Linked DNA regions of Alligator mississippiensis. The protein of the gene in region 4 interacts with the protein of the main gene of each other region in a biochemical or structural test. Links are inferred from orthologs where the notes say so. Each region holds a gene or a part of one and is shown on either strand. Other genes may lie near its edges.

What was found.
Region 1: the proteins of LRRK2 (region 4) and ECHS1 interact on a protein array, tested with the Homo sapiens proteins (2 studies listed by BioGRID and IntAct, with this or other methods). The link is inferred for Alligator mississippiensis from reciprocal best matches to the Homo sapiens genes LRRK2 and ECHS1.
Region 2: of the proteins of LRRK2 (region 4) and MAPT, one has a biochemical effect on the other in vitro, tested with the Homo sapiens proteins (3 studies listed by BioGRID and IntAct). The link is inferred for Alligator mississippiensis from reciprocal best matches to the Homo sapiens genes LRRK2 and MAPT.
Region 3: of the proteins of LRRK2 (region 4) and ARHGEF7, one has a biochemical effect on the other in vitro, tested with the Homo sapiens proteins (2 studies listed by BioGRID and IntAct). The link is inferred for Alligator mississippiensis from reciprocal best matches to the Homo sapiens genes LRRK2 and ARHGEF7.

What each region holds. Positions count from the first base shown.
Region 1 is NC_081829.1:24,317,716-24,324,773, reverse strand, and holds the start of ECHS1 (enoyl-CoA hydratase, mitochondrial), read left to right. Parts: upstream 1-4,043; 5' UTR 4,044-4,058; coding exon 4,059-4,170; intron 4,171-7,058. UniProt on the Homo sapiens protein: Converts unsaturated trans-2-enoyl-CoA species ((2E)-enoyl-CoA) to the corresponding (3S)-3hydroxyacyl-CoA species through addition of a water molecule to the double bond.
Region 2 is NC_081827.1:159,259,800-159,267,537, forward strand, and holds the start of MAPT (microtubule-associated protein tau), read right to left. Parts: upstream 3,022-7,738; 5' UTR 3,007-3,021; coding exon 2,844-3,006; intron 2,291-2,843; exon of another isoform or gene 2,183-2,290; intron 1-2,182. UniProt on the Homo sapiens protein: Promotes microtubule assembly and stability, and might be involved in the establishment and maintenance of neuronal polarity.
Region 3 is NC_081824.1:353,744,531-353,751,452, reverse strand, and holds the start of ARHGEF7 (rho guanine nucleotide exchange factor 7), read left to right. Parts: upstream 1-3,921; 5' UTR 3,922-4,244; coding exon 4,245-4,409; intron 4,410-6,922. UniProt on the Homo sapiens protein: Acts as a RAC1 guanine nucleotide exchange factor (GEF) and can induce membrane ruffling. Functions in cell migration, attachment and cell spreading. Promotes targeting of RAC1 to focal adhesions. May function as a positive regulator of apoptosis.
Region 4 is NC_081827.1:28,643,985-28,651,299, reverse strand, and holds the start of LRRK2 (leucine-rich repeat serine/threonine-protein kinase 2), read left to right. Parts: upstream 1-4,300; 5' UTR 4,301-4,351; coding exon 4,352-4,484; intron 4,485-4,570; coding exon 4,571-4,656; intron 4,657-7,315. UniProt on the Homo sapiens protein: Serine/threonine-protein kinase which phosphorylates a broad range of proteins involved in multiple processes such as neuronal plasticity, innate immunity, autophagy, and vesicle trafficking.

The DNA.
Region 1 (7,058 bases), on a different chromosome or scaffold from region 4:
ACCACGTGCACACACTGATGCGACATTTTAAAATAAACAATTTTAAATGTAATAAACCTATTTAATTTAATGAGGATTAAACCCCATTACATGTACAAGCAGCCCATGTGGCCAAAGGTTACCTTTTAAGGCTCATATACAAAAAAACTTCAGACAAACTACTAAGTCCAGGCTCCAGTAACCTGACTCTGGGAAAGGCTGACTACCTTTGGGCAAAAAGAAAAGAAAAGAAAAGAAAAAAAAAATCACATGCCAATGCCCCACAATTTCATTTTCCAGTCTTCCCTATACCCAATGATAATGAAAAATGCCTTTGTGTTTTAGTTTTTCAGGAATGGAAGGGCAAGCAGGGAAGCAGACTTCTTCAAACATTAGGTCCCCACAGGTCAGCACTTGTACTCATACAGGTTGAATATAAGCTTATACAAACAGTAGCGTAAAAACCAAAAGGGACAAAAACTCCTTCGCTAAGACACTAGCTCCTACTGCAAGTGTGTCTATAGGGCCTAATACAAAGCGGCCCTAATCCTTGGCACTGTAACATGAGATCACAAAACAATTAGTAAATGAAAATAGAATCAAGCAGCCAAATTATTTGAGGACAAACCCAACAGAGGCTAAGGCTCATTCACTTGTGGACAAGGAAATTATCAGAGAGGAATCCTAGAAAAAAGAAACAACTTAAAGATTGAGGAATGTTTTTATATTGCATATTATAAAAAACAGTTACTGCAAGTTTCAGGGAACAACATAAACGGTTTGAAAAGAAATACAATTCAGGCCACTGCACTGATAGCCAGAGCTTCAAGTGATATTGGCACTTCAACATAGCCCCAAGTCCTTCCTACCTGTACGTTTGGAAGGACCATCATGGTCACATACAGGTTTCCCTCGATTTATGCAGTAGATGCGTTCCTGGAAAACTGCGCATAAACAGAATTCATATAAAGGGAACCCAGTTTATAACGTAACAAATAGGGATACATTCCTACCGTGGTGAGGGAGGGAGTGAGACTGGGGCTAGGGAAGGGGCAGGGAGAAGGGTGCGGTGCAGCCCAGTGGCTGCAAGCAGGTAGTGTAAGCCACCCCTGGGTGCTGCAGCAGGGGTGGCACTGGGCTTCTCCTGGTGCTCGGGGTGGGTGGCAGCCTGCAACTGGACAAGAGCAGGCTGGGGGTGGCAGCAGCACTGGGCTCTTCCTGCTGCTTGGCGGCAGCTCTTGGAGGGCAGGTGGGGCTACGGCAAATTTAGGGGTGGCAGCGCCGCTCTCCCATCACTGCGGCCTGCCCCAAACACCAGGAAGAGCCCAGTGTTGCCATCAGCCCCAGCCTGCAGCAGGACAAAAGCAGTCAGCCGCCAGCCCTGAACACCATGAAGGGCCCAGTGCTGCTGCCGGCTCCAGCTTGCAATGGCAGCCTGCTCTTGCTCTGCATGCAGAGGCTGCAGAGCCTGGCACAGCCCCACAGCCCTCCTTGGTGTGGGCAGCTGGCATCTGCTACTCCTGGGGCCCCTGCAGCAGGGGTGAATGGGGAAGCAGAGCCTTGGGGGTTTGGGGCGTGGTGCAGTCCACAGCTGCAAGCTGCTGGCATTGGCCGCTCCCAGAGCAGCTGCAGTAGGGGCTGGGGTGAGTGGGGCCCTGGCCCCATGGTCTTTTCCCCTCCCTTCCCCTCCCAGCCCTTTCCCCTCCCCTCACAGACTTATCTGCTTGGGGGAGGGGGGAGCGTGCCTATGCTGATCGCATAAGAGTGAATTTACCTTGCATATAACGAATTTGGGGTATAAAAAGAGTCATCGCATACGAGCGAATTCTCATATACAGAACCTGCATAAATTGAGGGAAACCTGTAGTCCAACTTCCTACAAAAGGCAAGATTTTCTCTTCCTAAACCATGAGAGGGATGTTTGTCAAGCCACTTTTTGGCAGACTCCAATGGAAATAGATATTACAACTTTCTTTCTCCATCTTGGTTAGAAATAGGATGGAGTCACCATACAATTCATTGTTGTGAACATATGGTTGAACCTGCACAACTTTACTACAGCAGACTATCAGTACTTTGCTGTGAAAGAAGGGCAATTAGGAATACTTCACAAAAGACACCTATTTCGAGAGACTTACAGATGAACCTCTGGTAGGCACACAGTAGCAGCTGAATAAAGCTACAGCTACCTGGAGCAACAGCACTTAACAAAGGCAAGACCATCCAAGACCTTAAGTGAAGCAGGATCACTAGATGTGAAACCAAGAGGAAATACAAAGCAAGAGTAACCTTACTGCGAGTAACAAGGGCTGGGTTCAAATTTAGGAGCTTAACAGCTCCTACCAGCCTCAACCTGGTTCATGCCTCAACCAGAAAGCTGGGGAAGTACATTCTGATTGGGTGCTCTAGTGTGTGCAAATTTCCCTGCTTGTAAGCAAATAAGCAAATGAAACAGGGCTTATTACAAGGAAAAAGTGAGCCGGCACCAGCTAAAGGCCATCTGAACTAATCATCCAAAATCCTTTGCAGCTAAACATGATTGTCTTTCATGATTATCTTATCTGTGGGTCTGTAGATGACTGATGAGGCCTATCCAAGATCAACAGACTATGTTGCAGCTCAGGCACATGTTTCCATGGGTGGCTCTGGGTTCTTGATTCAGTCCAAAACATGCTGTTTCTGCTGCTCCCACTTTTCCATCTCCTGTTGTCATTGTGAGGTTTCAAAGTACTGAGAACCTTGCAGCAGAGTCTTCCTCCATTTGGGGCAGTCCTGGGTAAGTCTCCCATGAGCTGATGTCGATATTGCATTTTTTTCAAGCTAGCCTTGAGGATGACCTTTAAGTACTTTCTCTGCCCTCTTGAGCATATATGCCTTGATTGTGCTGGGAGAATAAAACTTGCACTTAGTCCCCATAGGGTAGCATCCTGCAGTTTGCATTTCTCTCTAAAGCACTTCAGAAGCTTGTAAAACCGTGGGGAAAATATGGGCTCCCACTAGCTGTTGTGTGCGCTTGCCACTGTCACAGCAGCTGCCCTACAAAATACTTAAGCTGGCTGTTTTAGATCCCACCCGTTGCGTTTGCAAACCTGGCTCATGTACTTGGCCCAGAGGAAGAGCAGGACATCTGGCATCCCTTTGCCTCAGGACTGTTTCGCTTTGAACAGCTTGGCCCTTGCCACCTTTCTCCCATGTGGAGCGCCAAAAGAAAACATGGGTGGCTCTGGACTCTGCCAACCACATGTTCCGAGCGGGGAAGACTAGAGCAGCGCCTATCAGCAGCAGCAGGAGCACCGTCTTCAGTGCCCCCCGGTCAGGCAGTGTGATTGCCCCAGCCCCTGTCTCTGCCTGGTCCTGGCCTCCTTGTTTCCCATGTCCTCTGCCCCCTCAGCTATGGGTCAAACTCCACCCTGTTATTCCAAGCCAAATCAAGTCCAAATCCAGGAGCCAGTCCAGAACCATAAGTGGCCCTGACCTGGCAAACATCCTCCATCCCCACCAGGCGCTTCAGATATTTCCAAAGTCTTTTGGCAGGCATCCTACTTGCAGGCCCAAGCCCGGAGGCTCGGGGTTCGGATGCCCCCGCGTTTCACCTGCGCTCAGCCACACGAGCAAGCAAGGGAGGAGCCTCCCCTTTCCATACCGTGGGCTTTAAGCCCCAACACCTCGGGCTACTAAACCAGCCAGAAAAGCAGTTATTCCGAGCTGCCTGCATGAACCCAGATACATGGCATTTCCCCTGCCAGGATCGCTTGGTGGAGAAGCAAAGGAAACCATGTTCCCTTGCACTGAAGCAACCTGCGCTGCAAGCGGACACGGCTCCCTCCAGCTCCCGGCCCGGCCCGCACGCAGACGCGGCTGTGGCAGCCAGGCCCGAGCAGTGGGGGGGAGGCGGAGCTCTGCAGCTTCTCAGCCAGCGCACGAGCAGAGCAGCTCAGCCCACGAGCCAGCAGGGCGCGCAGCGCCGCCGGGGTCTCGCTTGGCCCCGTTCAACACGTGCTCCAGGCGCTGGGGGGACGAGCGGGGCGGGGCGGCGCCGGGTGCCTGCAGTCCCGCCCCCGCCTCCAGCACGCTCAGCCATGGCCGCCGCCGCCGTCCGTGCGCTGCTCCGCCCGGCCCGGGCCCGCGCCCCCGCGCGCTTCCTGCTGCCGCCAGCGCCCCCCAGCGCCGGGGCCCGGCACTGCGCCGCCGGTGAGCGGGGCGGGGCACTCCCAGCAGGCTCGGGCCCCTGGGCCCTGTGGCCGAGGCTGGGCCCTGGCCCTGGCCCTGGCTCGAGCCCGAGCCGTGAGGGCGGGCGCCTGGCTGCAGGCCGGGGCCGCCCGCAGGAACGCCTCCCGGAGTGGGCTCGGGGAGCCCCGCCTCGCCTCGCCTCGCCCCTACCCGCAGACAGGGTGGCCTGTCCGGCGCTGTGCACGTCTTCCCTGCTGTCAGTTCAGCCCCTGACTTCTCGGTCTGGCCCCGGACGCAGCCTGAGCGCCCTCCTGCCTTTCCCGGAGTGCGGACCGCCGGGACCCCTCCCTCCCTCCTGGCAGCTTTCTCCCGAAATACTCGGAGTCCCTCCAGCCTTCCCAGGGCACTGCTCAGAGCCTTGGTAGTGGGCTGCTTTCCACTGCACGTGGCTTTTGGCCTGGGCGGTGGGCTGGTAACGATGATACCAGGGTTGTACTCAAGGGGCTCTTTTGGTGACCTGTTTTCTCTGGTGGAAGGAGGGTTGAGTCGTGCTGTGACTCCTAGTTCAGCACATGCACTCTGCAAGAGGGGTCTCAATATCCCTGCTGCCCTTCTGATGCTTTACTGGATTGAGCCCTTTGAGCTGGTCATATCTCATTATTTTCACAGGCCTTTACGTTGGCTCTTGAACGGATGTAACTGTAAGGGTATGCTAGCCATCCAGGGGGCCTTGAAGATGTACGGTCTTCATGTTTTGTCATGCAGGAATAAATCTTAGTGCTGATCTGGATAGACCCTTGTAATAACTGATCCTGGTGCCGTATCAGCTGGCAAGGAGGAGCTGCCTGAACACCTGAGTTGGCCGTCTGCGTGGTGGCAGAAGGGTGAGGCAGTCAGAGCCGAGGTTGGAGGTGCAGCTAGGCAGTTATGTGAGACCCTGCATAATAATTTGTCCTTTCTTTTCAAAGGATTTCTTGAATTTACAGGAATCTTGAATCTACAGTTAAGTGGATTCAGCAAAGGCATTAGCAGGCAGATGCATTAGGAGCAAAATCCTATTTCCCCTCTGCAACCCTCTCTCCCCTCCAAATAATAACAGGAAGAGAAACAGATTCTTTTAGGTTATGTATTCACACGTATTTGTGTGTTTAGTTGTAGTTTGAGGTCTGCTGAGAAACATAAATCAGTGACTTAGCGGGAGGAAAGTTGTTATATTTACCTGGTATATATCTCTAGCAATTTCCAGCTATTGTAACTGCTGGATAATCCTTTCATGCAGATTGTAGTATGCATGTGTCACTGGCTTGCATGCCTTTTGTAAGAGATAGATAACATTTATTGTTTATTTATTTAGATTTATATGGCACCCATCCCAACAAAGGCATTGGGGGGGGGGGGGGGCGGGCAGGGTCATTTTTTTCAAATTCACTTATTAAATCAGGGTTCACACACTGTGCTCTCAGTGGAAGAAAATCTGCTTTGAGTGGTACAGTGGAGTTAAAGCTACTGGTATGTTTGAGAGAAGACTTCAGCCTCAGCTGGGCAGGAAACGTTATCTGGTTATGATCTCCTTTCATCTGAAGATGGGGTACTTTGATTTTTTTTTCAGTGTATTTTCATTTTCTTATTTCAGTTACTCAGGCGAGGTATTAATAGCTTAATAAGGGTTGTGTGTTTCTCTTGATTATTTGGGGTCCCCATGTGAAAGTGGAATTTCTGTCCCTTCTGTCTAGTAATGAGAGGGGAAAAATAATTCTTTCTTTAGACTGACTTATTCTGAGGCCTGTTGGTGGATTGCTGGTTGTGGCTGTAGTGCTAAAAAGCTACAGCTATGGAGGGAATGTGAGTAAGGGTAGAAAAAACTGGTCCAGGCCAGGCCAATTCCAGCCAACCTCTGACCATCCAGATTCATGCAAGCTTGGGGAGATGGCTTTTCTGATTTAAAATTTTTGATGTTGGTTAATGTTGGATTTCAAAGTCCATAGCTGGCTCCTCTCATAGAAGCAGGTTGACTTTGGCAGGTGTATGTGTTCAGTATTGCTCATTGACACCAGTGGGTCTTGTAGATGCCTAGCAGTTGTACAAAACAGACTACTTCATTTAGGTGCCTATCTATGGAAATGATGACTGTGCCACACCCTGCATGTCAGGAATAGGGGTGGTGGGCACCATAGAGCTGAATGCCTCCTCTCCTAAAATAGTCCTTCCAGCAGGTTGTTATGACAAAAGCAGTGCCTTCATTTGACCTGCCTGGAAGGTTCAGTTTGAAAGGAGCAGTTAGTCTGGAAAAGAGTCAAGTGTACCTGTGAGCACATACAAGAGCAAATGCAGTCTGACCAAATGAAGGGTTTCCATTCTACTACAGTGCAGTTTATTAGAGATTCTTGCATGTGAAGGTTGATTTTTAACTTGTTGCTTTGACCAACTGAAACTGTCCTCTGTGATATACTACTATAAGTGGTCTCTTTGTTACCTGCTGCTACAGCAGCTTGTTGCTATTGCAGTAGAACCATGTGAATATGAATATAATTGATGTCCATTTTACATGAGTTGGTAATGCTACTTGTCAGAGCCATGTCCGAAATCTTGGCAAAGTGAGGGGGGGTGCTCTGTTTAATTCTGAAGAAGCTGGTGGTTTTAAGCTTTTCACTGGAGTGGAGTCTCCAAGGCTTGTACTCGTGACCTCTGCCATTGAATTGGGCTGTGGTCTTTGCCAAATTACTCTCCAAGCAGGGTTTGTCTAGGGTAAAGGGGTAATGAAACGGACCCATCTTTGTAAAAAGCTTTAGATTTCTTGATAATCTCAAAATAAAAGCAAGGCGTGACTTAGTTAACAAGATATTACCAGGAGCTTAATGGTAATGAATTATTTTTTCCACTGGGTAGCCCTTTCTGCCTGTGTTTGCTGA
Region 2 (7,738 bases), about 130 Mb from region 4:
AAACTGAATAAGTCAAGTTGCCCAAGCCTCTCATTTCAAGACATATCTGTACAATACTCAAAAATAGGACTCGTCAGAATTGGGACCCCATACTACAGATAGGTAACAACTTACAGAGACAGAAACTTAGTCAACCAAGCCCATGGCATATCTGGATATAATAGCATGCTGTCCATTAGCATGAGTGCTGAGACTACAAATGTCATGATTCATCAGCATTTAAACTGTGAAGGCTAAAATACATGCATGCTTTCAATCCTTATTTTACACTGAAGACAGTTCAAAAAGGGTGAAAACAGCTAGGCTTGCAACTAAAGAACAAGAAAATGGATGGGAAGGGATTCAAGTAAAGCATCTTTGCACATATTCTTCCATCCAAATCCCAGCCTTCAACTTGCCCATGAAAACCACGTGCAAGAAAATCCAGCACTTCTAGCTAAAAATCAGCATGGACCATCTTCTGGTCAGTCCAAACAGCTCACCTGGAAAAACTGCACATAGCACAGACAATGACTGAGAATTTGCCCCTCCACATAGATTTTGTCGAGTCAAGCACTGTAGATACATTATAAAAAAAGCAACAAAATGTGTCCATAGTTTATTTTTAAATTCCAATGACAATGGTTTTTAAATATTCTCCCCACCCTTATTACAAGAGCCTGTAATGAAGTTGGCCATAAACAGGGAAATTAACAAGCCTTTTTTCATTGTCCACTGTGCAAAAAGCTGCAGAGAGCCTGACTGCAGCATGAAAAATTTAGATTATTAAAGCTAAGCATCTTAAATCTGATTTATGAGGAACAGAGGTTAAATAAAATCTGTACCTGATGTCTGCATTTCAGGCATGCCAATGAGCTTCTTTTCATCTCCTTTGCAGAGCTGTTAAAAAGTCAGCCAGTGTACTGCACAGGTAGATGAATTGGATCAGTCAGGCAATATGCTCTGAACAGACCACTGAAGTAACAGAAACCTTAACCCGTTTCTGCAACACGTTCTAGGCAGTTCATAATGACAGGCTAAGTCTTGGTTGCCACCGGAGTTCTACCCCACACAGAGGTTCGGTAAGCCAAAGGAAGGAGAAACGACATGTAGGATGATGGCAGCTGCCTCCCAGAGAGGCAAGGTGGGGATCGTTCTATTTTTTGATGTGATTAACAGTACCTCAAAAAACCCCACATCTCTTTCCTACCCGAACCCTCCCAGACACTCACATTCTTTGGAAAAGAAGAAAACAATTAGCATTCCACCTCCTTGGTCTCAAATAAGCCGTCTCCGCTTCCGATGAGTTTAACAGTTCAAATCTAGGTGACCAGGTGCAACATGCTTTGTGCTTACTACAATGAAGTGGCTGCCAGTATCTGCCAAGGGCTTTCCCTTTCCATTTACAAACAGAAAAAGCAAAAAAAAAAAAAAAGAGAGAGAAGACTGTCTCATAAGAGATGGAAAATGACCTTGGGTGGCACAATGTTTAGAAATGGGGTTGGACCCACATTCCTGTGTCCAGGGTAATTCCACAGTTAGAAGTAATTAACAGTATATGGGGGAAAAAAAAGAGGTAACAGAAACAGATCAATTTTAGCATAATAGAGAAAACCACTCTGTGAAGAATGAGGATACACATACTGGCAGACAAAGGGGTTTCTCCTCTCCTTAAACTACAGGAATATACCACAATCTTTACCCATTCAATGAGAATCACACTAGGCATCCATTTATGCTGCCATACCAGGGGCGTGACCAGCTGCTATACAGTATACTCAGGGATTTTACAAGACCATTTCAGACAGTGATTTAGAAAAAGCATGCAAGAGAGAAAATCACATACGTAATCCTAGTGAACCTTGCATTTCTGTAACCCCCCCCCCAAAAAAAAAAAAAAAAAGCAGAAAGGAGCAAAATACCTATCAGGGATTTGCCTGCCTATTGTAACCCTACTCATGGCTATTACTATCATTATCAATTGCATCAAATAAGGTGATTCAGACACTGTGCATTCAAAGGGGTGCTCCCCCAAGGCTATAGGAAACCTAAGGCTCAAGAATTATAAACATAAATCACACAATGCTGACCAGCGCTGGGCAACAAAGCAACCTAACTCCTAGACACGATGACCTAAATCTCTCTCCTTCCCTCCCCCCTCGATTTCTACGATTAAAAAGAGACAGCGGCATGCAGGGAGTACCTTTTTTATTTCTTCACCTGACAACCCGAAGGCAAGCGTCCCCCCACGTTAAAAGCAGGATTCTCCCTGCAATACCGAGGATGTGACAGACTGCAAAATATGGCACCTCGGATGTAAAAAGGAAAAAAAAAGCCCATCCTTTCTCTCTCTCTCTCCAGATCCACACCTACTGCAGTACCCACAGCCAACCTCTCATTCGCCATCACCACCACCACCGCGGCCGTCCCCCCGCCAGGAAACCCACCCTGCCGCCGGGAACGACTCCCCAAAATACTGGGAGACAGGAGGGGGAACGAGAGGAGGGGGGCACCTCCGCCCTGAAATGCACGGCTGCCTGGGCGCAAGGTGCAGCAGGGCGGGCAGGCGGCGCCCACCGCTGCCGGGGGCAACAGAAGCCTTCTGCCACCGAGACCCCGGCGAGGGGGGGCCCCGCCGGCGGGCTGGGGCTCACGCACCCCGCCCCGTTTTGGAGGGGGAAAGTCTCGCAGCGAGCGGGGCTGAGGCGCACCCCCCCAACCACTATCGGCTTCTCTTCCCCTTGCAAAGACGCTGGGCTGGGGCTGGGGCCGGGCAGAGGCTGCAGTCCCAAGCCTCCGCGGTGGGGGTGGGTGTGGGTGCCCGTGCCCGTGCCCGTGCCCGTGCCCCCGCCCCGGGCGCTCACCTGCCCGCGGCCGCTGCAGGAGCTGGTGGAGTGGCGCGCGCAGCCGGCAGCAGGGGAGTGACAGCCGCGCGCTCCGGAACCTTCGCCGAGCCCGCGCCGGCCCGGGCCGCCGCCAGGGGGAGCAGCCGCGCGCACGAGCACCACAGCCAAGCCGCGTACGCATACGCAGAAGCGCCGCCAAAGAGCGCTCCAGTGCGCGTGCGTACAAGCGCTGCACCCCACCCCGCCGCCGCTGGACGCGGGCGCATGTGCAGAAAGCGCGGCTCTCCGCCCTGCTCCTTTGTCTGAGAGAAGCGGCTTCTCCCCGCCCGAGGATGGGGCACAAACGCAGGTGCGCAAGGCGTGCCCGAAACCGAGCCTCGCTCTAGGCGGCTGGAAGCCCCAAGACAGGGTCACTGGCGGCCTCCAAAAGGCCCCACAGCCCGGGGTGGTCTCGTCACAGACGGGCGCAGCCCCGGTTGGGGGGCCGTGCAGCTCTTTCTCGAAGTTAGGCAAGGGCGCGTTTCATCAGAGCCACTGGTGATACGTAGGGGGTGCATGCAGGTGTACGTGCACCCCCTGAGATTGGCAGTGCACCCCTGCGAAGAGCACCACTGATGCTGCCAGTGGCACTTGCAAGCAGTCGCTGCTCACCGTCCCCCTTCCCCACCGCCAACACGGTCTGCTGGTGGTCCCTGATCGCCACTGGTGGCATCTCTGGGTGGTTGCCAATTGCTGGTCAGGGCTTGCCAGCCACCCATGCCGCCAACACCACTGTGGCAGGCTGCGGGAGCTCCCTGCTTGCCGCCACAACACCCCCGCTGCTGCTACTGCTGCCACCTGCCCCCCCCCAGCCTCCGGGGGGCACGCCGTGTTTATGATGGGAGCACAATTCATTTGCAGACACCTCACCCGCTTTCTACCTGCCTCAGGTGAGGCAAACGTATTGCGGGCTCCAATCTCACTGACTTTTTATTAAGCACGTCTCTCCCTGAGAACTGTTGTTTCACATAAGGAGCTTGAACACTGACCTTTGCTAGGTGATGATGATGATAGAAAATCAGGGCTGGAAGGGACCTCAGGAGGTCATTTAGTCCAGTCTCCCACTGGAAGCAGCATCATCCCTCTCTAGACCTGCTGGTGTTTGGTTCACCTGGCTCTTTAAAAAATTCCAGTGTTGGAGATTTCTCAACCCCCCCCAGCAGTCAGTTCAGTCCTTACCTACCCTTACGCTAGAGACGTTCTTCCTACCATCCAACCTAAATTCTTTTGTTGCAATTTAAGATGTTTATTTCTTAAGACTGTCCCACAGGGGACAAGAGATTGCCATCCTCTTTATAACAATACTTCATGTATTTGAAGCCAGATCAAATCACTCCTCAATTTTCTCTTCTCCATATGAAATAATCCCAGTTCTTGCAAGCTTTCTTTGTATGCCAGGTTTTTCAGACTTCTAATAATTTTTGTGGCTCTCACTAAACTCTTTCCAACTTGTCTATGTCTTACTTGAAGATATGCAAGGACATATTTAATCAGGGCATGCAACAGCAGTCAAGGTAGATGGGACAAAGATCTGGACAACTGTAATAAGGGCTACACCAGATCAAAAGTATGAATGTAGTATCTGGACCTGCTGAAGGTAATTCGGGTCACTTCAGGATACTCCTCTCCCCTGGCAAAACAGGAACAGTGATCATGTCAACATTATGGATCCGTAAGATAAAAAGAGACCTACCTACCTGGCTGAAAATGCATTCATTATAAGATGCTTCTCCCCTGTTAGCAAACATTATCTGTCTCATTCCATTTGCCTTAAAAACAGTTTATTTTCATCCAAGACCTTTTTTTGATCAGGCACTGGAAGAGGAAGAAAACCGCAGAACTCAGGTGTAAGGTAAGGAAGACAAGCATACCAACTATACAGCTCAACATACTTAACAATTTCTAGATCACTCAGATATTAAGAGAAGTTGCAACAAGCAGAATACTGAAGGGCCTAATTAACAAAAAACTGTTAGGAGGATGGGCAATATCCCATAGTCCTTTTGCAACTCACCAAAAAAAAAAAAAAAAAGAGTTGGTATGGTTGTGTCTATACATCTCAAGGCAGTGCCCTGCAGATATATAACTAGCTCTAAACTAGTATGGAAGAAAGTCTGTGCACTCCTCCTGGTGGTGACAGGTTTCAGAACCCTAACCAAAGAAGTGGTCCTCTACAAACACTTGACCAAACAACAAGGGGCCCCATCAGTTTATCTCTTGCTTTAGGTATGCCTTGTGGAAAAGCCAGGAACCTGCTCATCAAGAGACACTTGGACCCCACAGACAAGGACTGTATTAAAATGGGGCTGAGTGAAATGTACTGGTACTACACAAAAACAGAAGAGGACAACGGAAAAGAAATGACAGACCTCATCTGGTGGAGAGGAGACTGCCATTAACTTTTTCAGAGGCAAACCCTCTGAAAGGACAGTGGGTGAAACTACTGGAATGGTGATGGGCATTGGCGATGTGTAGGGGGTGCATGTGCACCCCCTGAGCATGGCATTGCACCCCTATGAAAAGGTGCTGCCGACACTGTCACCGGCACCTGCGGGCAGTTGCTGCCCCCACCCCCAACCACTGACACTGATGCAAAAAAAACTGAGTTAGCTTTATGACTGTCTTATGCCATTCAGACATACCCTATAAAAGCAATCCATTTTCCTGTCAGGACTCACACATACATACATACCTTGATCAAGTATGACCATGATCTGCTGAAAGACAAAACTGTTATGAAGATTATGGTCAACTATCCTCTTATTCATCAAAGAAAAAACAAATCTTCAGACAAAGGATATCAGTGAAGGTCTCTATGGTACACCTAGATCTGAAGCCAGAATGATAAAGCTCCACAGACATATAGTCAATTCTCCACTTGAAGTCTTTAAACCATGATCAAATGACTTTTAAAAATATTCTCTAGTTTAACCACAACACATTTGCCTGAGGCAGGAATTCTTGTTGAATTCTACACCTATGTTATGCAAGAGGTTCTAGTAGATCAGAATGGTTTCTTCTAGCCATAATATGCACAAATACCAAAGAATCTAGATGATGCTGAAGATGGATCACTACTACATTCTTTAAAAAATCACCAAACTATTTTTTCAGTATGAAGAGTATGGTTTCTTGAGCAAGATCCAAACTCACATTTGATTTAAATTGGCAGGTGTCTTCCCTTTACAGGAAGGTATGGACTTTTCTCCACAAGGAGGAAGCAAGGTTTTGCTAAGCTAATGTCACCAAGCACTTTCAAAACCAGCGAGACTAGAATGTAAACCAATCTCCAGAACTGATATGATGTGAAGGTACCAGACAATCTGTCATGAATTACTCTTGTCTTCTCTGAAGTTAATGGGAAAATTCTTCAGAGAGAAATATTTGACCCTGCTTCCATTAGAAGGCAATCAAAACTAAAGAGGTTGCCTATCACATAGCACATTTCAATTAGTCTAGACTTCATAACACAAAGAAATCTCCTTAGTCTTGCTAGCCCACGGACATTATAGAAACATCTGCCATTATCAGTTGAATTCGGTATGCATTTTCTTTCAGTGGGCATTGCAGTTTTCTTCTTGTTCCTTTACCTGTTGAAGACCAGCTCTAAAGTACAATGCCTTGTAAGGATATTGGAGGAGAAAGGTGCCTGGGAGTATATCAGCAACCATAAGAAAAAACATTGATATTCAGCCAATAGGTCTTAGTCTCAGCCAACAGATCATCTAAATAGCCAGAATATTGAAAAAAGGGGATGGGTCTAGACCTCTTTGGCTTGGAGAAAGTGAAGCACTCGTCAACTTATGACAATGGTGAGATCAACATATCTTTTATATCAATTAACAGATACAGCACATGTCCACCCAAGAAGTCCATGCAATTGAAGACAGCCCTTGGACCAGATTATTTAACAGAGACAAATTAAATTTTGATACCAGAGAATAACTGCTTTTGGAAGACAGATTCTATTTTGCTTTGGACACCTTCAAATATATAATTAATGGTTACATTAATAGGAATTTTTATGTTATGCCTCCAAAGCACTGCCAGTTGCTTCACGGTAGGCATGCATGTGCTAGAAAACTTTTCCATACAGTTTTAAAATCAGTGGAACTAAGCACATTTTATCAACAGTTATAGCCAAGTGTAGATTCAGTTTTAGGCAATTTGACCTGTTTTACTAACCCAAGTAAAATCAATCCCAGAGTTGCACGCTACTACAAGGGCAACCTGGAGAACAGAAAACCCAGGCGATCTTGTCTCCAATCCTTCATTAACAACTAGACTATACTTCCCTAATTAAAAATATATATAAAAAGGGAGTTCTGTATCTGATTAACCCTCATGTCTCCTTCTGGCTTTTCACTTCTATTTTTCATCATAAATTCTTTTCCCCTGCATGACCTCTGTCAGAAATCTGTTCTGAGACCATAAGCTTTCTTTTGATTTTCTCTTTAAAGATTCCCAGGGAAAAAAAAAAGAAACCTTAAACCAGTCTAACAAAGGATCCCTCCTGCAGTTTCTCCACAAAATCCAATTACAGGGAATAAGTAACCATGAAATACCAGACAATAATTCCATTGAGGGATCTCTGTTAAGTTCATAAACCTAAAAAGCATAGCCTGAGAAGTTTGTCCCTAGAGCCCAAGTGGAATTTCCCTGTCATTCACTTATAATTTTTTAATAATATCCATCACAAAGACCCATGTACATTAACCATGTACCTGCAAGAACATAATATTAACAAATATATAGACAAGCATTTTGCATTTCACTGATTAAATTCTCACCTCCCACATGGAAGATCTGGGTTCAGTTCCCAGTGTGTAGAGAAGGAAGGGTGGTCTAGAGTTTACAGGACTAGCCTAGGACCT
Region 3 (6,922 bases), on a different chromosome or scaffold from region 4:
TGCCCTCACTGCCCCTAAAAGATTGGGTACCAATATCCCAATCATTTTTCCCCGGGCTGCTCATATGTTTAAGAGGATTAAAGTTTCTACAATAGCAAAAAATGCCCTCTGATTAGCTGAATATTTTCAGAGGAGTTAGGTATGATCATGTATGATGTGTGTTTAAGTGGGAGTAAAGATCAGCTTACAGACAATTTGAAACAAAAGAGGGCCAAAAACCACATACAGATCAATCAACAAATATATTTATCAGCTTTAACAGTGAAGTAGATTTGTTTCCAATTAAAAGGGGTGAAGGCTAAGAATAATGTTTATGATTTATCATTTGGGTTATGGTAGCACTTAAACCAGAGATTGTAATTCTCAACCAGCGCTGGGGTGCTTTGAGATTCTTTCAGGGGTGCTGCAGTGCCACGCAATGTTAGAACCATTAGGTGTGCAAATATGATTCATGAGATAAACCGGGATATCAAATAGGAACCCATAGTGTTAAAAACATTCTGAATTTTTAAGTAACTATGGTGGGGCTTTTGTTTATTATTTGTGTTTAATACATTATAAGGCAAGGTTGACAGAATAGAAGAAAGGAAGTGATTAGTGAAAATGAACAACAGGCAGCAAAAGGAAGAGTGGAGGTAGGAATGGGAGGTGTCAGAGAACAGAAGAGAAGGGCATGAAGGGCAGCTAGAACCAGGCTGAGGAGACTGTGCGGGAGGGGGAAGTTGAAGCCAGCAGCCAATCGGTAAAGGGCAGAAAACGTTCACTGCAGAAAACAGCTTGGTGGCATCAGTGTCTAAAGGCCCCTGGATCCCTGGGGAAGTTGCTTCTGCAGCTGTTCCTGCTGGCTTGTGTGTATGCTTGGTTACACACAAACCTGTCTTTCTTTTCTGAAGTCCACATGCAGAAGGTGAAAGTTAAAGGGATTTATGTACTTACATCTCTTAGGCCCTTTTGAAAGTTTCTCTCTGGAAATGGTTGAAAACTTTTTTACGGGTTCCTATGATGGAAGCAAGTTTGCTTAGAGGTTTTCCAGTGCGGTATTTTATACTGTTAGCCATGCTGAGTGGTCCTCTATTCATTCTGTACAGTGGTGTGCCTTATAGTAAAACTGAAGGAGAAAAGCAAAAGCTACAAAAGATAATGCTAACATAAAAAAGCGATATTCAACCTCATCCTCCAGTGTTTAAGAAAGTCTGTAACTAGTAGGGATTAGGAGACATAATGTCATGAGTCAAATTATCTCATGTCTGCCTATTGCAAGGGCACCTGCATCTTCCTCAGAAGCATCTGGTGTCAGCCATGCTCAGCGATAGGATACTGAATTAGATGCATCATTGGTCAGATCCTGAATAACAATTCCTATATACATATCCTGAATAACAGTTCCTATATACATAAGAAGCTGATTTGGCAGTAGCATACAGCAAAATTGGACAGGCTGTTAACAACGGGCTAAATCCTGGAATGCCAGAAGCCTTATGTAAATAAGAAAGGTAGATTTTGTTTGAAAATATATTAGTTAACACAGTTTTAACACAACTTTGCACCTTGCGGTGGATGCTTTAACACTGAAAAATATTAATCCTAGTTTACTCTCCTCACATCTAGTCTAGTCTAGGCAAGGCTTTCAACACAGGGATAATTTTCCTCATACAAGTAGATTAATTGGGGGAAAAAAGGCACACATAATTTTTGGCAGGTTAATGTTCAAAATATTTCTAAGTATTTATGTCAGGCTCTCAGCTGCTACCAGAAACCATCATTGTGGAAAGTCACAGAAAATAAACCAGTGAAACATATGGCAGACTGCAGACATGATGACTGGAAGTGAACACAGGAAGAAAAGCCAGCACTTTAGCCACCATACATAGTGTTAGTAATTGGCTTCATTGCTCATATAAATTGTAAGCAAATGAGAAAAATGTGCAAATGGGATCAGTTGGGCCAGGAATGTGCTGCCAATGTTCCTAGAAGGCGATCCCATAAAAATAATCCCTTTCAGCTTTCCATTGAGCTGTATTTTCTGTGATGAGCTTGCTTGCAGAAAGGACATAAAAAGGCTGATGAATCCATTCACGTTTTCTCCTTTTTAAAGAAAAACACTCTAACTATAACCAAAAAAATGATGAATTAAAATGAATCTAATATAATATGGTCATTCAGTGCCCCCTGTTCAGCTTGTGTAATTTGAAATAGATGTGTAGCTTTGTAGGGGAATTCAGGAGGTATCTTCACCCTGGGATTTTTAAAATCAACTGCAGTTTAGTATGTTCCTAAGAGGGAAAACATTTTTTCTTCAGGAATATTTTCATGTAACCCAGGGATGTCATCACTGTCAGGGATGACTTGGTAGTATGTGGAGTGTGTCAAGTTTATCAAAGTGGAGAAGCCATCACAAGTCTCTTTTGGTTTGACGAGAGCATTTTAATATGAAGCTCCCAAAGGCTTCCAGCAGCCCTATACAGCACATCTTTACTTGCTGTGGCCAAATTTTGCTTTTTCAGGCTACTGCAGTTTTCTGGGGGATGTCCTTCATTTCTGCTATTTCTTTTCCTTCTAGGGTCTGTCTGGCTTTATGGACAATGCTAGTGGCTCTCAAACGCAGCCGTCCTAAAGCACTCGCGCTAGACCAGTGGTTCTCAACCTTCTTAGGCGCATGGCACCCATAGATGGACTCAAGGAAACTCCTTAGAAAATGCAGACTATTAGCTTTTGCTCCTGGTTTGAATACAGAAAAATAATGAAGCGATTTTTTGTTTTGTTTTGTTAATTTTTTTAGTTTGTTTTGTTGCATAGAACTCAGCCCATAACAGGGCAGAATGGCTTCAGCACTATTTGAAATCTCTGGGTTTATCTTAGAGTCTTTGCACACCTAACTGTGCTAACATAGCCTGTCAGACCAGGGCACCCTTGAAAGACTCTCGAGGCCTTCCTGGGGTTGAGAATCGCTGTCCCAGACATGCCAAACACATGACGCTGCCCCAGACATACATGACATGCCTCTGCATTGGTTTGTCGAGCGAGCTCGCAGACTGCTACCAAGTGGCACTAACCAACCCTCCACCAGAGGGCACATAGCGCAAATCTGTCTGTTCTTTTAGATCTGCGCTACAGGTTTCTCTTACTTTATGTGGGTTCTGTATGGGTGAATTCGCTCTTATGCAATTACCCTTTTTATACCAAAAAGTCATTATATACGACATAAATTCACTCTTATGCGATTGGTGTGGTGGAAACCCGCAGTCAGCTACTTTGTGCGGTGCATTGTGGGAGTGATGCGCACCAAAATATAGTCTCCTGTGTGGATCTGTGCTCCTTGCGGGTTGTCTGCGACATGTGTTTCTGTAGTTGCCATCCCCATTATGATAGTGCCCTGTGCTGGTGTGTACTGTCTGCTGTTGGAGAGTAGACATTGTCCTGTAGAAATGGGTCTGGGGGTCAGTACAATCAAGGTCTTGGAAGTATCCCTATTTGTTACATTGTAAAGTGGGTTCCCTTTATGCGACTCAGAGTTATGCGCAGTTTTTCCAGGAACGCACGTACAGCATAAAGCGAGGGAAACCCGTACTCGACACAGGGCAAACTCAAGGCGGAGCAAATCTAGTCCAGAAAGACTGCCGCGGAATTTACCTGGCTGCATATTGAATTCAAGGGACTCCTGGGTTGCTGAGGGGTGAGGAGAGGGTTTGGCTGACACAAGGCAGGGGAGATGGACGCCTTCATAGACTAACTTGAGTAAAGGTATCCCTCGAGGAAGAGGGAGCACAACTCCAAGTCACCTGAGCAGACGCTGACCCCGCCCTTCGGGGGACAAGAGGCCGTGTAGGCCTCAGCGGAGACTTCATCTGGGCCCCCAGCGGGGCTGCAGGGGGAGGGGATTTAAATGCTCTGCCAGATGGTGCCTGCCCGAGACTCCCGTGTGCGTGTGTGAGAGAGAGATCCTGCCCGCTCTTTGTTCGCGTGCCGCCCAGAGACGTGCGAAGGTCACGCGTGTGACACGCGCGGCGCGGCCCTACCCGGCCCGCAGGCTCCCCACGCCCGGGCCGCGGACGCTAGGGGGCCGCAGCCGCCAGCGGCGTCACGTGGGGGCCGGGCCGAGCACAGCGGGAGCTCCCGGCGCTGCCGCGCGGGGCGTCGCCCGCTACATCGGCGCGGGGAAGGGCAGGGACAGGGACGGGGGACGGCGAAGGCGGCTCCTGCAGCCCGCGTCGCTCCTATGTGAAGGGCGCGGGGCGGCCGCAGCCATGAGCTCGGCCGAGCAGACCGTAACGTGGCTCATCACCCTGGGCGTGCTGGAGTCGCCCAAGAAGAGCATCGCGGACCCCGAGGGCTTTCTGCAGGCGTCGCTCAAGGACGGCGTGGTGCTGTGCCGCCTGCTCGACCGCCTGCTGCCCGGCACCATCGACCGGGTGAGTCCCTGCGCGGCACCGCTCCCCTTTGTGCCGCGGCGCCATTGGCGGCCCGGACCCGGGCCCGGGCGGGAGGGAGCCGGCGGCCCCGCCTGGCTGCGGGGGCTTCCCGGGCGCGGGAAGGGGCTTTCCCCGCGGGCCGCGGCCCAGCCCCTCCTTGCAAGGTGGCTTGTGTTGTGGGGGGAAGGGCAGCTGCGGGGCCCGGGCATCCCTCACCTGGCCCCGGGGCCACATGATGCTGCCCCTGTAAGCATTGGCTTGTGTGGGGAGCGTGTTTTGTTTTATTTAGGCCTCCTATTTTGTACCTTTTCCTCCCCCCTGTAAGCATTAGAGGCATGTTTTAAAATGCTACCCAGAGCTCCTGCACTGGGCGGTTGTCAGCCTCCTCATAGAAGACGAGGGCTGCAAGGGACCTCAGGAGGGCATCTATGGCAGCCTCCTGCTCAAAGCAGAGCCATCCCCGACTAGATCATCCCAGCCAAGGTTTTGTTTAGCCAGGGGCTTAATATTGTTGTTTCCGCCTTTTTATATTTTTCTCTATTCCTCAAAAAAAAACTCTGCCCCCCCCCCATGGCAAACATAGGTTACAATTTGGAGTTTGTGTGAAAGGCATGAAATAAACTCACTTATGATACAGTCATGCCTCTTGCCATACAGCAATTCCTCTTGTGTTCCCAATTCAGGGGGTTTTGAAACCTTATACCACACCCCAACATACAATATAGTCTTTCGTATGATCGGACAGGTAGCCCAAGTATTCCAGTTCTGGCTTTTCTCCTGAATAGTAGAGGGATTGGTATTTGTCTGAAGGTGAAATTAGAGGCAGGTGATTTTTTTTTTTTTTTTTCCCCGTACAGAGCAGAAATAGAACCTTTGACCTACCTATTGGCACCTGCGCCAGCTCTTTGCTATTGAACTTTACCAGATAATGAGCAAAAGAATGAAGGAGATCAATTGTTGGTATTTTAAAAACCTATGTTTGCAAAATACATTCACATAATTGAGGAAGAATTGCCTTGTAATTGAGGTATTGGACTGCGGTTAAGGGAATGCTGTTCTTGGCACTACTGTGCAACACTAGTTTGTATGTAGAGACCCTTGTGGTACTAGGTTCCTGACAAACAGGTAACCAAAAAGGTCACCCCAGCACCAAAGAATTTACAATGTAATGATAAGACAAAAGGCAACATACACTTAAGTGGAGAAAAAGGAGTTTATGGGCAGTGCGATAAGCAACAACGGTTGTGACCTGTTACCTGCCTTTGTGAACATAAACAAGTCAGTCTCTCTGTGCCTCAGTCTCCCCCTCTGTGAAACACAAGTGATAATTTTTCTTCTTCTCTTGCCTGTGTAGGATTCAGTCTTGCAAAGATTCAAACATATTCTTAATTTACACAGTGCAAAAAATCCAAAATTGAGGGTCAGTCTACATTACAGAGCTACTGCCACTGCTGGTGCATCTTTGTTGTCAGAGGCTGGAGATGCAGTGTATGCAGACAGAGGCTCATGTAGTTATACCGTCTCCAACAACAGAAACTTAATTGTGGCAAATACCTTCTTTTTGTCAGTGAAGTTGCATGTAGACTGGGGGCTTTGCCACCATATTTAACTTCTCAAGGGTATTTGCTATCTTTTCATACCCCTAGTTATCGTATCTATGTCAGCAAAACTTTGTAGTGCAGACCAGACCTCAGTCCTAGCTGCATCAGAGCCAGAGAGTCTAGCTCTTTGGAACAGGGACTGTGCCTTACTGTGCACATAGATAGAAGCGTAGAATGAAGCCCTGCACATAATTGGGGATGTTAGGTGCTACTCTAATGCAAATAATAATAATAATAATAAAGAAAGCTTAATGGAAAAGATGATAGGAACAGTATCTCATTATTTTATTTTATAAATATAGTATGACAAGATAATAGTTTTATAAATAAATATATAGACCAGCTACTAGAGTAACTGGTACCACCAAAAATATAGCCCACTTTAGTTAAGGTGAAATTTATGACGGTTTGGCCCTGTGTTAGGTTTGTGCAGTGGGACACTATTGGAGCAGCCACAAAGGCGGCCCTCCATGTTCCCTACGTATTGTTCAGGCAGCTCTGAATAGGTCTTTATTGAGGTCATTGGATCCACGTTTTGATAGATGCAGTGGCTGGGAACCAACGGACTTCTCAGCAATTTGCAAACCGTTATTATGGTTCTTTGGCTAGAATAGTGGCTGTAGAGAGTCTGCGGCTTGCTCAAGTTGGGGTTGTGTCAGTTCTAGCTGCCTAACTTGGTTTGCCTGAGTCATCCCTCTACCACAGAGTGAGTTAATAGTCTTTGTGGTAAAAAGGCTGCTTTGCCTTCTCGCCCCCCATATAGCACTTGTCGACTTGCCAATCTACAGACATAGCTGACAGACTTGTAAAACTACTTCCTATCAAACTTTGGAAAGATTCTGTTTAGAAACATTCTGCATGTATATTACTACTTGGCAACAATAGTAGTTTGGGGTGAGCAAGAAAAATGGA
Region 4 (7,315 bases):
CCATCGGTATGCCTGGCTCTGCTCCCCTCTGATCTTAATAACCCACTAAAATAGGGGGGGCTGGGGTTTTAAGGCGCCCCTCCTCGCCTTTCACCAGAAAGGTAACTGGACTGGCATTCCTGGGGGACTCCCCAGCGGAGTGCAGTTTTCAGTCATACCTGTCGGGAATCAGAGCAGCCGGCCAGCAGCTGCCTTCTGACCCCCCCCACCGAAGCAGTAAAACTTTTACCTGACAGGCGGGTAGTGATGGATGGGGTGAAATTAACCAGGCACAGATGCGTGTTGGTTATAGGAGATTGTTTACTTACGTCGCCCAGATAGTGACGTGCGATGCAGGCTTAGCCTTTGTTCTGCTACAGTTGCATCGATTACAGTCAAACGTACGGGTTACAGCCAAGCAATGATGGACGTGGCGCCGAAAACGTGCTATCGTGCCTGCAGGGCTTTGATACGTCAAGATTTACGATGACGGGGAGTATTGACAGCTGATCAGACCATCAATCTACTCTGGTGATGGACTCAGGTCTCTCCTCAGAGGTTTCTCCGGGGTTCTCCATCTGGGCGGAAGTTGCTAAACTATTTATAGACAGAGGTGTCTGACGGAGATACCCAATGATGAACCGTTATGTGAAATCTTTAATTTTCTGGCAAGCAGCAGTTCTTTGTGCTCTCAGGTTGCTATCAGGTTACAAGGTAGTGGGTTAGGTTTTCTTCCTGTTACATATGAGGTTATGATGAGGGACTTACGCTTGTTTCTTGACCAATTGCAGGGATTTATGGCAGGGCTATACCCTTTCACCATGACCAGTTTCGTTTCTTGTTTGTGACATGGGCATAAATTATATACAGCTCTCTGCCAGGATTTTGTTTCAGGAGCAAGGATTTCTTTTTTAACCCTTAGTTGGCTACTTGAATGGTATCTCTTGCTAGTGGCATGGGCACTGATTAACTGGGTTGTGACAATACCCAGGACCAGGAGCCTCCTGCCATCCCCAATAGCTCCTGACCTTAACTCCAAGATGCTCCATGAGCAGCAGCATACCTGGGTGTTGTTGCTCCCTTGGCTGCTGGCAGAAAACTGCTGCTCTCAGCCCTGAGAGCCAGGATCTTAAAATGGCCGCCTCACCAGGGCTGGCCTACACTTGTCTGCTGCCTGCTCTCCTCAGACACCAAAGGTGCTCTGCCACCTATGTTCCCCCTTAAAATGGTTCCGGGGATGGGGGCTTTCCCTGCTGCTCACAAAGTAGGCTCACTCAGAGCCTGCAACAGCCCTTAAGTGGTGAGCATCCTGTTGGTGCTCCCCCCCACAAGTATATTACTGTGACACTGAGCATCACACAATAAATAATAAATATTAGCATAATCTCATAAAACATCACATGACAATAAATTGAAGGTCAACTACGTGATAGAGTGAAGCAGTGAAGTTGAGGTATCTATGTTTGTTGCTTGAGGGTAGTCAGGAGCCTCTGACTGAAGTGGATCTATTTTTATTCAACTGACTTTGTCATTACAGGTGCTTGCACTAGTCCAAATGAAAAGGCACTCAACTAGTTTCTAAAAATGAATCGCTGTTCCATGCTTAAATTACCCCAGGTCAATGTTTTGTCTTCTAGAACTTTGAAGGGAGATAAGATCATTCATCATGGCCAAATGTAGTCATAGTCTATGGTCTATAATTAAGAAATAGTACAAAAGTTTCTTTGAATGAGACTTAAGGTTGAGACAGTACCAGCACTACAACAAAAGCTGACAGCCCTGAGATTGGCTAGCTACTAAGTATTTGCAATAACCAGAGATCCAAATGCAGTTCAGAATGCTTGTCACTCAAAATAACCAACCTTTTTAATAAAGGAGACTTCCCTGAACTGATTGCCCAAGAGCCAAGCATTAAGAAAAAAATCAAGTTAGCTTCAAAACAGCCAAATATTTCCAGCTTTTGTTGTTATTGTTCAAAATGGCTAAAACATTAAAAACCAGAGATAAGCTTGGTGAAGTTATTCATTTCCTCCCTCTTTATTTAGCACAGTTCTGTGGGAACTAGTGTTCATTTGATGACAACTTACGAATTTAACTTCTAGCAATTTAGTGACAGCTGCCGGCAATTTAACTTTTCACCTTGCAAGAGCAGCGAAAAGTGCCAAAAATAAGGCAGTTAGAGGTTAAAAAAAGTTAGACAGTATATATAATGTTTAGCTTTTCTACTATTAGTTTTGCTCCATGTTTCCTTAAAATAGTTTGCTAATCATGGCAAAAATATTCCCATTTCTTATTCTTGCAAGCCATGCTTTAGGAATGATTTGATGTTTATTGGCAGCTGTTATAACTACTATGAAAACATGTCAGGTTGTGTGTTTGAAATTTATTAAATCAATGTGATTAAAATATTGTAATTTTAATTTTCTTAAAGGTGTTTACATAGGCACAAAGAAAGTGCACTGATTTATAACCAGATACCTACATTAAGGCTAGAAAATTTGCTTTGATTGCTTTTTGAGTTGGCCTACCATAAAAGGTTATCAATATTTTCTTTACTGAATTGACCATTTGTTTTGTGAAATTGAGTTTCTATAACTAGATATAATCAAGTGGAAGCGATTTTTCTTCTATGCAAAAGCTCTACAACCCCAGTCTGGGAAACCAGATCACAGACTTAGCTCTCCAAAAGACATGTCAGCAAGATGAAGGAGCACATCACTCTCCATCTCTTCCAAACACCCTTACTTAGTAAGCTTGGCTCTATTCACCCTTTTTACCACCTCAGTGATAAACCCCATGAGGCCCTCCAAGTCATGTTAGTTGGAGAATATCACCACGTGGTCCCCAACAGCCACACTGGGAGGTAAACAGGTCACAGCCCAGCTTGCTCCACCTTCAAAGGGGGTTGTCAGGTTGGCTGCATAGATCTCAGGTTTGCTTTCTTACCCAGCCCCCACTTAAGAACTGCTGTACTAGCTTAGGCTAAGGATCAACTTCGGTATCCCATACTTTGACAGTGGCAAATAATGGTTGCTTTCGAGAAACTAAAAGAAACAGGAAATTTGTAGAGTTCTATCCAGTATCATACCATTTTGGTGAGCAGCAGGTTAATGCTGTTTTGACTTTGAATGTTATAGACAATAGTCCCCTATAAACCTGTCCTCCATAAAGTACCACCTAACCCACTCAATATTACTGGCTTGAACATCCCAGGACAATGAATTTCACAAAAGTATTTTTGTTTTAGGCGACTCCTAGCATTGGATGTGGGTTAAGAAATAAAGCTGTGTAGAAGGATATTTTCACTGGTCAGGGACAAAGAGCAGAAGTGGTTGGGGAGGATCACTTTCAATTCTTCCCCCCACTTTAGGGAAGAGGGAAGGGGTTGTACTCTCATTATTTTATTCCGTCCCTGTAGTTCTCCCCCTTCTGTTATAAGCCACCCTAAGACTGTATGAAAAGGTGTTACACGTACACAAGGCTTGCTAGATTCAAGACCTAGTTCCACCAATTCTTTTTTTCATTCCATGGATTTTTCTAGATGGCGGTTTTCCCAAGCTGAAACCTTTCAGCCTTTTCAGCTTCTCCTTATTTGGAGGCCATTCTGCAGGCCTGACTGATCTTTCGTGCCCCTGCTCTTTTCCTTCGGCACTTTTCCTTCGCTACTTCCAGCATAGGAAAGTTCAGTGCGGACTTTCTAGGGACACAACAGTGTCTCTGCTTCATTCCCTTTCCTAGCAGCACTTCATATCCTGTTCGTCTGGTCAGCTGGACACTCACAGCAGCAGCCCTGACCTTGGAGACCCACCGATGACCCCCAATCCCCCTCTGGGGACGGGAACCCGCAATTCAGCCCCATCCCTGCGCGCAGCCGGGGCTGTGGGGTTGCTCAACGCAGTTTCATCTGCTCTTTCGTGGGCTTGTAACTCTTTCTGGAACCCTCTGCCTGGGTCTGCCGCAGCTGCGACTCGCTCCTCCCCTCCTCATGGCGAAGGCCCAGGCCCCCTCCCTACTCGACAGGCTGCGGGGCCCCGCACCGCCTCACGCCAGGGCTGGGAGGGCGACACAGCGCCCCGCACGCTCCCCCTCGCTCAGTGCTCTGAGAAGCGGACGGGAAGACGGGCGGGTGAGGAGACCCCACCCCCACGACGCCGACCCCCTCTGCCCAGCTCATAATAACAGCCGCTCGCCGCGGCGCCCTCCCTTATAAGGACGGGGGTGGGCCCGCAGTACCAGCGCCGCCACCCGATTGGACAGCACGGCTGTCAGTGGCACCGCCTCCGGGGGAGGAGCCGCGGCAGCGCCGCCTACAGGCGTCCTGGGGCAGCGCCGGCCCCGCCCGGGCGGGACAGATGCGGGGCGGCGCGGGGCCATGGCCGAGCCGCGGGACGAGGCGGCCCTCGCCAAGCTGCTCGTGAGGCTGCGGCACGTGCGGGACGGGCAGCGCCTGGACACGCTCGTGCAGACGCTGCGCGACCTGCTGGCGCTGGCGGCGCTGCCCGACGGTGAGACCGCCCCCCCGCCCTCTCCTCCCGTCCCCTGTCCCCCCCAGCCGGGCCGCGGCTGTAACGCGTCTCCTCTCCCCGCGCAGCCCCCGCGCTCTTCCGCGGCCGCGCCGCCCACGTGCCGCTGCTGGTGGTGCTGGACTCCTACGTAAGCGCCGCCGAGCTGCAGCAGGTAGGTGACCCCGGCCCGCGGGGGCGCGGCTCGGCTTCCCCTGGCGCGCAGCTCAGCGCTGCGTGGCCCGGGCTGGGAGCGGGGGGGACCGCGGGGAAACGCCGATGGGCTTTTGCGGCGTAACTCGGAAAGCGAGCTGGGTCTGAGCAGGGCGTCCCATCCCGTCCCGTCCCCCGCTCCCGTTCCCCTCTCATATGCAGCCTTCACATTTAAGGTCTAGGACAGCGGCTCCCAAAGCCTGACAGATGGCACCCCACTAGTTTAAAACGATACGGCCTTTACCAGTACCACCAGCAACTTTTTGTCCTATCGAGTCATTATAATACGTCTGTTAACATGTACTGCTGACAGGTGGTCTAGTACCTGTACCGCAGATTGGGAACCACTGGTGTAGGCAGTTCTGATTCGGACATCCCCACCTTCAATAGCTACCCACCCTCTTCCTCCAAAAGTTTGTCCCGGCCCTTTTTGCATCTAGGTAAATGGGCAACTGTCGGTGGCAGTGAGCGCCACACTTCAATGACTCGCTGCAGAAAAAAGAACTTCCCTTTTTTAGTTTTAAACTGACTACTTGGTAGTTCTGTTTTATGACCCCTAGTTCTTGTATTGTGAGAGTGAATGATAAATCCCTGTCTACTTTCTTTTTGCTGTTCAATATTTTGTAAACCCTTATCGTGTCCGCCCCCCCCCCCCCCCGCCTCTCTTTTCTAAATTGAATAGGCCTGAATAGCTTTCAGTTTTTCCAAACTGAATAGGCTAGTGCTGGTGGGAGCAGTCAGTCTTCTCAGCAGTCAAATAATTTGATGCTTTACCTTTAGCGGATGGTTACAGATGATACAATGTTTGGACGGGTGCTTTGCATTTAGAAAGGAAGTGGCATCATTAGAACCTTCTTGGTGTCTTTTAAAATGTCAGGTTGTTGACTTAAATTGTAAATAGCTGATCTAAGTAATGGGGAAAGAACAAGTGAGAATTTGCAATGTTAAAAAATTTTGATTAAAGCAGCAGTTGGGAACCTATACCCTGGGAGCTGGATCCAGCCCACAGAGCCGTTGGATCCAGCCCATGGAGCTGGATGGGGCTTTGGAAACAAGGGGCTTCTCCTGAGCCACCGATGGGCAGCAGGGAGAAGTGCTGGCAGTAGCCAGGTATTAATTCCAGCTTGCCTTGGACCCAAGATGGATCACTCCAGCCTGCTGCCCAAAACCTTTGCCAACCACTGGATTAAAGCATGAATTTGTGTCTTTGCTTCATTCTATGACGTGTAGTTATTACAATAATAATAATTCCAACTGCTGCTTTAGTTTGAGAACCTCTAAGCATTTTGCAAATAGGAAACATTTAAGAAATTAAGTAATTAAGAAATTAAGTAATTAAGAAAGATATGGGGATTCATCTTCAATCCATGTTAAGAGTTGAACAGTGATTTAATAATACTTAGCCAGGTTGCACGAAAATTTAGAACAGGAAGGGAAAAATATCACATCCTACTGAAACCACAGAGGGAGTTTTCAGAACAAAATGGGGAAGAAAGTAGTTACTTGAGAATTTGGCCAGGTAAATAAATCCATTATTCTTATCTCCGTACTTAATGTAACCTTTAGTTTCAACTTCAGTTTTGAGTATCTTAGCTTTTATGAGTCCACATTAGATTTTTAGGGAGCCTCCAAACAAGTGTTCACATGTGTTTCGCCAGGGCCAAATAGTGGTGCATAGGAGTGCTATTAGTATGTGTCCCTGGGGAACACCTGTGCATGCGTGCTGTGGCACATGGCAAGTTGCCCCATGTCGGGAAGGGGAGGCTGGGATCAGCACACCTACCCTGTCCTCAGCAGCCTTACCTAGGTCCAGGGGTCCCGGGGCTCCAGCAGTGGTGATCCGAGCACACGGAGCCTGACTAGAAACTGAAGAATGGCTCCGGTAAGCTAGGCTCTGGTTTTGGGTGGCACATGCTGCCACCATGTGTGCCACCCCACTCTTTTTTTTGGCATGGGTTTTTAAATTAGCAGTGCAGCGAATATCTGCACGTGCAGTGCATTTGGTTTGTGGCACCACTGACGGGTCTGTGGTGCTGCAAATCCCGTGTGCACTCGTCTGGATGCACTCTTAGGGTGCCTTAGTTTTATTTTAAGTGGTGAATCCTCAGCCAGTGTGGAACTCATATCTTTAAAATGCTGTAATTTCACTTTCCCCACTTACTATTTTCATAATATTTTAGAAGTATAATGCACTGATGTATTCGGTGCTCTTTGCTATGTCTGATATGAGTCAAGCCCAATAACTGCGACATTTGAGGCTGAGTTTACTGCTGCAGTGGTACACTGTAGTCCTGGATTTTGAAGCAGTCTGCCTACATTACTTTCCAGTTGTCTGGACAAGTAAATGGATCAGTAGCTCTTCTGGTTTTGTGGCACTGAAATGAATGACCTGCATTTTTACCTTTGAGTAAGGGCTGCATTTGAGGTGATGAATATATTTCCTCCTGGTTCAGCTGGTCACAAAATAACTTGCTGTGTTGTTGTCCATCAAGTGTGCAAAGTAGAAGTCTCCTTGTCTCCTCCTTTCAGATTAATAATGTGGGCACCAATACAAGTTGGACTGTGCAAGAAGTCCTCTTCTTCCACTCTGTAAGAAGTGGAAAACTTTTAGATTTTAAAAA